Oryzias latipes: one gene and its partner. Each later gene encodes a partner of the first gene's protein in a complex. Links are inferred from orthologs where the notes say so. Each region holds a gene or a part of one and is shown on either strand. Other genes may lie near its edges.

Region 1 (4,393 bases):
TTTTTGTCCTATGAATACCTCTTTTTAAAGAAAAAGAAGATTGAACATTGCATTTAATTCACCAGCATTTCTATAGAGATCATCATCAGTGAGTATAAATGGGAGAATGAGACTGTAAAGCGCTTTGGGCCTTAAAGCAAGGTAGTAAACAGTGAAACATGATGGTGGCAGTATCATGCTTTAGGTTATTTTTTCAGCATCAGGGACATGTACAGAGGTATCTTGAGAGAAAACCTCTTCCAGAGTGATCAGGACCTCAGACAGAAGGTTCACCGTCCAATAAAACAATGACCCACAGCGCTCCACTAAGATAACAAAGGAGTGACTTCAGAACAAATCTGTGACTGTTCTAGACTGGTCCAGCCAGATCCCTGATCTATACCCAATTGAACATGTATGGAGAGACCTAAAAATGGCTGAACACCAACATTCACCATGTAATATGCAAGAAAGAAAGGCAGAGGATCCCCAAATCCAGGTGTGATAAACTTGTTGCATAATTTCCAAGAAGACTCATGGCTGTAGCAGCTAAAACGGAAGCTTCTACTCAATACTTAGACCATGTGACTTTTCAGTTTTTCTTTCTTGTTAATAGGCAGGAATTTCTACCTCTCTGATTTTTTCTATCAAGATAGTTCACTCAGTTTGGAGCCCCTAAAGTAATATAGAAGAAAAAAGATAGAACTGGAGAAATTCTGGTGAGCACCAGAAAGTAGGTCATGGACCAAAAAAACTCGTGTGCAGTACACTAGTTGATCAAAGCAAGTGAATCTCCAAAGCTGAAACAAACCCCATGACTTTAGAACTGGCTTTAGGCGATAACACAAAGGTGACGCCAGACAAGAAAAGCTGCAAGGTAACATAAAACTCAATAACTCATGTAATGATGACAGGGTGTGTCTTTATTGTGTAAATTCTGGGCTCCTTGTTCTGAACTGTGACGTCGTTCGTGGAAATTCTGAGGTCCTTGAACTCCTCACGGATGTCACTGCAGAACAGACAACAGGTGGGCACCTGGCATCAATCGGTTTTAATGAGAGACCAGGACGAGAAAGGAGGATAGAGAGGAGACCAGGACAGGGTTACCCGCCTCCCGGATCCATACTGCACCAGGAGAGGAGTGCGCGCAGTCTGAACCGGGAGAGGATGAAGAGGGGAATGACCCGTCCCCCGGAGAGAATGCGACACAGCGTCTGCTGTAATAAAGTCCTGGCAGGTTGGGCGGAACCAAGAGTGAGCCTCATTGCAGGACAACAACTGAGGATGCAGGGGGCGCCGCTGGATGACAACCGTCGTGGACAATGGCGACTGAATTGACTTAATTTCGTTGGAACCAGAAGCAAGGCATTTTTTTATGGGTGATGTCACACTCCCTCAGTCCAGTTCTCTATTATAGTCAATGGTCTAAAGGCGGAAAAGTCCTCACAGCACACTTTCTACACTGTTCTCAGACATGAACATTTTCATTCTTGTTTAAACTCTTAAAGTTCAAACCTTCCCAGAAAAATAAGTTAAGGACTATAAAATGAAAACAAAGATCTGATTACAATCATAGATTTATCCTCACAGTCAAACTGCATGTATAGAGAGACGGTACAGAGGAGATTGATTGATATGGACAACAGCCAATCAGAATGCAGTCAATGCCCTGCATAAAGACAAAGAAGGAAAAACTGCACTGAAAAAAATGTGAAAACGAAACGAAAAGTGAAGCGCAATATAGCGAGGGGACATGACAACTAACTCTGAAAAGTGGTCCTGTGCACAAATGACCACTTACTTTCTTCTGAGCAACAGATACTTTTTCATGCGCCTGAGAAACCAGTACTCTTTGCTTTCACTTGGATGTCCCTTCACGGGCTCCGTAAGTCAGCGCACATGACTGAGAATTGAAATGAACTTTCCTAATTTTGGCAAAAGGCTACAATGATGCAAAGAGTGAAAAATGTAACACTGTGACCACTGAATACTTTCCGTAGCCACTGTATGTTGAGCCAGTCCACCACTGAATCCCTCACAGGGAACGAACGCTTTAATGGAAAGTGAACATGAGTTTGGAATGACAGCAGCGAAGAAAATGGAACGCCAAACTGGCCGCATCCCATCGTATCTTCCTGTCAAACCTCTGCTGGCCAGGACCAGATTTTCTGTTTGGGAAAATCCCAGAACTATAGAAAGAAAGCAACATCCTTCTTCAAATGTCACAAATAGTGTCAATAAATCAATAAAGGTATAAATATCATATCTACCTTTGACAAATCAGTGTCCGATCTGCTCCAATTTACGTCACAGCAGAAATGAACAGGCACTTTTTTTACCTTCTTGTTTAAATTTACTTTAAGAGGTACATTTTTTTTGCCAACTCTATTTATTTTTCATTGGAGATGAAAGCAAATGTGCAAAACAATGTTTTTAGTGGCTTTAGACCAGTAGACCACAGGACTGAAAAACACATCCACAAAGTGTAAACTAACAGAGTGTTCTCATTTCCTAAATGTTTAAGACAATCCTAATTTTTGTGAAGACTACAGTTTCTGAAGACCCTGATAAAGCCTGATTGGTTTCTTGTTTCAACCTTAAAACGTACACATTATGTCTCCCTTATGTTGGCGTGATTACTGGAAACACGACCATAACCTTCACATAACGTTGCTTTCACAGAGATGTAGAGCAGCCCACTGATCAAACTAAAGAACCGCTTGGCGATGGAATGCAGAAGCACTGGAAAAGACGTCGCTGGAACTCTGTTGGGTGGAAAAACCCTCGAGTTCCAGCAGAACTTCTTACCTGATCGCACTGCATGCCAAAGAAATGTTAGCAGACCCCTGCAGCTAACATGATCAGTTGTTTCAGCGCAGAGAATACTGACGAACCAAATTATGCCCGACGTTTGTTGCGGCTTCTAGGTTGTTCAGAAGCAAAAGCCCTCTGTATCTGGCTTCATCGTTTCTTCCCCCACTGCTCCTGCCTGTCTTGACATGTCAGTTCTTAAGAAACAGTATCGTGCGCACATTTAATATGCAGACAGAAACCTCTACCCACGGCATTTACCTGGAGCTGCAATGGTCATTCTCTTCGCCTGAACAGAAATCAGTTCAGCATTTTTGCACCAACACCATTTCATGTTAAATGAAAAACTCTGTACAGCGTTTTCAACTCAGACTGTCACAAACTGAGAACGAAAAGACTTCAGTAGAAAAAGCATCATGTAGTTTATGAAGAAAGTGAGGGAAAATGTTTGTAAAAGAAAAAAAGCATCTGGGTTTTCCCTGAAGGATTAGCTTACTTGAAGTCTTCATGTTCGTTCTTTTCTTCTTTATGTTTATCAGCTGCTAAATATTCATGTCTCATGGAATTGTTAGGAAAGCCCATACATTTTCCAGGTGAACCTACATGTGTTGGACCTGAAGCAGGTGTGTTGCAACGCTACGCCGCACCAAACACTTCAAAATCAGGGTTTTATTTGCAGCGCCAGCTATTTAGTTATGTTTTGGCAAGGGATGATTCCTGCAGAAAAATTCCTGCTGTAGGCCGTGACTAACAGGAGTAACAACAGCAGGGATTATGTAGCCTGGAGCATAGGGCAGACTGCTGTGGGAGGGGCCTGGTGTTGCTCAACCTGCTTTGGTAAAAACTCACAAATAGCTGCCTGAGGGATGAAAAAATACAGTGGATGACTGGTTCAAAGCACCTCGCCCTTCTGCACAGCAGGGAGAATCAAACCATCAGAAGCACACAAAGCTGGTTTTCAGTCCAATAAAAACTGGATTAGCTATCCTGCCTTCAGCCTGCTGCTCCTGCTCTGTTTGCCCTTCGTGTAGCTGCTTTAAAGCCCCTAGTGGTGGTTTCTGTGCGAGAAAAGGTTCCTATTTACAGGACAAGTTTTAAGGTTTGAAGGATCAAAACAAAGAGAAATGATTATGTGGCGTTCATGAGATGCTCCACAGAGCAGGCAGTGTTTATGAGCTTTCCTAACCTACACTTACAAAGGCAGCAGAGGCCTGAGCTTAAGCCTGCTCACACACTTCTTTGACGGGCGTGGATGAGTGTGTGGTGCGGAGCTGCTATACTGTCAGCTCTAAGCACACCCATGATCCACAAAGATGTCTTCTTCACCCTGTAATCCATCCCTGAACAAAGCAGAAGTTACCCGCAGTTCTTCGGTGATGCTCTGTGTCCTCAGCAGAGCTGTGAAAACAAAGCCCCCCCCCGGACCACTCTCAGTAATCCAAGGAAGCTGCAGCTGAGCCGTCACTGTGACTCATGGGTTGTTGTTTGTGAGTTCACTGTACTGAGACCATAGGCAATCATAGGCACACACGAGCTCTACCTGAGGAGGAGGAGGAGGAGCATGTGGGATAACAAAAAGAGAGTTCATTTTAGCCTCATTTGG
Region 2 (3,817 bases), on another chromosome or scaffold:
CTAAAAATGTTTCTGGCACCATAACTCACTCTTTAGCATTTTTGAAGGATCCCTATCATGTGTCAAAGCCCCACTGTGCAGCGGTTCCCAAAGCCCTGCTGGGGTACTCCTGTGTAGCCTTTGTAGTCCAGAGCTAGAGAAAGCTAAATGCTTAATTGGGATCTTGGGCAACTCTTAGCTGCATGTTCTGCCTCATGGGGCCAAAAGCAAAGTTGTATTACACACGCATACAAAGAGGTCAAATCAAAGTACCTCATTACGGCAGTGTGCAGCTATCCGGGAAGTGCAGCTTGAAAAGGGCTTGAAAAAATTCCACGCAAAAAAATCCCATCTTTGTTATTTGCAAATTAAATTATGTCAATATATGCTTAAACTGAAAAGGTTCCAATGCTCCCCAGACCAGAAAATGATATATTTACCTGAAAAGCACTCTTAGAAAATCAATAGAAACTAACAAAACCAGCAGAGGTTTTTGCTTAAAAAAAAAAAGTCTTAAAAAATGTAAATCTATAACTGAAACATCAAAATGATCTTTTATTATTAGCATTAGACAGTTTTGCTGAAATTAAACAAACCATGCAAGGTACTTTTTTGTGGTGAAACAATTTTTGATTTGATTAAACCAAACCAAAAAAGATTCAAGAATGCCTAACAAGGAGCTGCAAGGATCTGTTTCAGACAGTCTCTGGTAAAGAGGAGCACAACTGCACTGTGGACATGGATGGACAGGCTGAGAGTCTGATTTATGGTGGAACTGACAGAAGGGGGAAGTTCTTTGTTGTGTCTACATGTAACCCGCAGCAAGCACCACACAGCTTTATCTCTTGTGCTCCCCGAGCTGCAGTCACAGACATATGCATGGTTCTATGTACACAAACATGCAACACAAAACTCAATTTTCCTTTAGCATGTCAAAAGAAATGAGTAAACACAACATGCTTTCCTAAGAACGTGTGGGAAAAATGAGGTTGCTTTTCCATCTTGTGTCTGATAACTTTGTTAATAAATCATTTGTGCTTTGTGTCCAAAAATAGAAAAAAGATACCACGTGAAATCATCCATCCCACAAGTAAGCAGCAGTTTTCTTGCAGAAAATAATCGATAAAAGAAATCAATGTTAAGCTCCTTTAAAAAAAAAGTAGAGGAATGAATTCTGTTAACTGCTGACTGTATCCCCATCATCTGAGAGGAATCTTTCCTGTGGGCCCAAAATAATTCTTCAAAGTTTTTAGCAGGTTAAAATATCTGGATTTGTCCAGAAAATGTATCTTCTAAATCAGCTACAGTGATTTGGGTCCATAATTATCTCAAAAAAATTACAAAAAGCTGTTTCATGGAGATTAATATGGCAAATAAGGCAAAGATTTGTTATACCTCCTTTGAGATTTTTGTATTTTAAATGCAGGATATAAAAATTAGTACAATGATAGTTTCTGGACAAAGAGCATTTTCGCTTTAGCTCCTTCTCTCCTCTTTGTCTGACAGCCTCATAAATATTTCACAGATTGAACTAAAGTGGCAGTTTGATGCAACATGTTGTTTTTTTTATTTCATATTGTAAAATAAAAAAAATTGAATTTTAGGATCATAATGATTATGTGAAAACATTGGAATCAGAGTATACATTATGACATAATGCATTAAACCAGATTGAGATGAACTGTAATTTACTACAGGCTTATAAATGCTCCAGTTGGCACTGTTGATGTACAGCGATTTCATGTACATTTTTTATTTGTGCCCCACATTCTGATCAGAATAACCTTTCGATTATATTTTTATCAATTCTGTTAAAATTAATGACTAATTTTGTAAAAGAATTATAAGAAATTTTCAAGCACCTCTGTTAATAGGTACATTTATAAAATGTAGTACATTTACTTAAATACGTTTGTGTAAATTAACCTTTATACATGATAAGGGAAGCACAGGGGAAAACAGTTAGATGCCACACTAAATTTCTTTGTTTAAAAAGTGAATAAAATAGTTCAATTCACCTGGTTAGGTTTAATGAGTCATGCTGTTTCTTCTCTTCTTTACTGTCCTCTTCCTTTGGAGGAGAAGGGGGCGTGGTTTCTGAGCATCCACCTCCTTGAGTTTCATCTCTTTCTTGGTCCAGATCTGCTGAAGCAGCTTCTTCCTCTGATTGGACTTTATCCGTCAGACCACCAGGGGGCAGCAGATCTTCACAGAGACTCGGTGCAGGTGCATTGCTGTGGTCTGTACTTTCACCTGCAGGCTCAGACTGTATTTTAGAGGTAGGTGGGGATTCCAATTTGAGCTCCATCCTGTTTGTAGTAGGTATTTCCTCCTCATCCACTCTGCACGGCACTCCTGTGGGTGTTGAAGGAGGACAACCCTGGTCTCCTGAGGACTTCTGGCTTTTCTTCTGGTTGTTGCTTTTTTCTCTGCTCTTCTTGAGATCTCCTGGCAAAGAGAAGAAAATATATATTATTTTTCAGAAATAAATGTTTAAATTTAGGTCTTTAAAGAACGATTGTGTTCATTCGTGATTTCTGCTGCTAACCTTTATCACCCTTTTCCTTCTTCTTACTCAGCAGCCGGGGCAACGTGCACATGTGGGAATAGTCTTCAGTGGAGCGGATGTAGCTGGCGGTGCGAGGACGCATGGCCTCCATGTCATCCTGGACCGTTTTAGGAACTGGACTGAGTCTCTCCGAAGCCCCATGCTCACTCCCATGGCCAGGAAAACCCCCTGCTCCGGCTCTGGACTTGGAGGCTTTTTTGTCATTGGAGCGCCAAAAAGAGTTCAAATTGCCAAACCACTTGAAAGCTTGGAAAGAGGGGAGAGGAGTCAGTTTGTTTTGACAGCTATGCAGTTAGATGTTGATCATAAAAACACATTTTTTTTCATCCCTTATTTATGCAGCATTTTGGCAGTATACTATTTATTTGATGTTTTCCTGACTAATAGCTTTAAATATAGGCATTTTCCCCATAAAGCATCTTGTTTGGACCTCTTTACATTTTTCTTGCTCAAGCACTTTTATGCAATATTTAGCTTCGGTGAAGAAATATAACATTTTAAATAATTTCTTTGAGTCACTTTACGATGCAGAACAGATGGAAGACATTTCCCACCAGAATACACCAAAGATTTCTCTAGACTCAAAGGTTCAGACCCTCCAAAGCTCCAGTGTGAATGGTTACCTTTCCTTTACCCCCTCTGGTGGATTCAAAACTTTTAAATAATGAAATGAGAACATTCAGCACTCAATTAGGATTCCACTCAGTTAATACATCAATGCTTAATAATTCAACTGGATATTTCTCATTTGCATATTTAATACACATCTCTCTTTGTTGATTAATTTTCTATTTATTCAGTTTTGTATTAATACTCTTCCCAAATTTTGCCTGTCTTTACTCTCTTTTCAAGGATTTCTCCATGGTGAATTTCTTTGTGCTTTAGCATGTTAACGGCCTCCCTGTCAGTGCTACAGGGGCAAAGTAAAGAAAATTCAGGTCTTCCTTCTTGTGGCTGCCAAATTCATTTCATAGGGTTTACAAACACTCAAAAAAAATTACTGAATAAAATAATAGTTTTTTTTGTAATCATTACCATGTTTTTTTCTTTAATCTTAATGTTTTTGCAAAAATGTGGATTTAGGAGCAAACAGTCGGTCGTCTATGCTTGGGACTGGTGAAATTAAGAAGTGTATCTGCAGTTCTGCTTGTGTAACTCTGCTTATTGGATTTAATCAAATTGGAAGGTTTTTGTTTCTTGTTCTGTTTTGATTTTTTGTGGAGGGTGATAAAAACAGCTCCAAAAATATTGCTGGGCATTTAAAAATGA

What was found.
Region 2: the proteins of bcar1 (region 1) and sh2d3c are in contact, whole or in part, in a crystal structure (PDB 3T6G), measured with the Homo sapiens proteins. The link is inferred for Oryzias latipes from reciprocal best matches to the Homo sapiens genes BCAR1 and SH2D3C. Residues at the interface, in NP_055382.2 of Homo sapiens: Ser739, Gln742, Phe746, Tyr747, Gln750, Asn754, Val779, Ser782, Lys783, Ile786, Leu787, His790, Val793, Phe794, Ile795, Asp797, Thr798, Arg801, Gln802, Ser816, Asn817, Cys820, Leu823, Arg824, Val827, Lys831; in NP_733745.1 of Homo sapiens: Thr543, Val544, Pro545, Val547, Gly616, Val617, Arg618, Glu622, Thr625, Leu626, Pro627, His628, Leu749, Leu752, Leu753, His771, Gly772, Val773, Glu774, Val776, Leu777, Leu780, Glu781, Ala783, Arg784, Ala787, His788.

Annotation. Positions count from the first base shown.
Region 1 is NC_019864.2:4,911,807-4,916,199, reverse strand, and holds the start of bcar1 (breast cancer anti-estrogen resistance protein 1), read right to left. Parts: upstream 2,916-4,393; 5' UTR 2,803-2,915; coding exon 2,788-2,802; intron 1-2,787. UniProt on the Homo sapiens protein: Docking protein which plays a central coordinating role for tyrosine kinase-based signaling related to cell adhesion. Implicated in induction of cell migration and cell branching. Involved in the BCAR3-mediated inhibition of TGFB signaling.
Region 2 is NC_019870.2:15,523,031-15,526,847, reverse strand, and holds part of sh2d3c (SH2 domain-containing protein 3C), read right to left. Parts: intron 2,795-3,817; coding exon 2,528-2,794; intron 2,428-2,527; coding exon 1,998-2,427; intron 1-1,997. UniProt on the Homo sapiens protein: Acts as an adapter protein that mediates cell signaling pathways involved in cellular functions such as cell adhesion and migration, tissue organization, and the regulation of the immune response.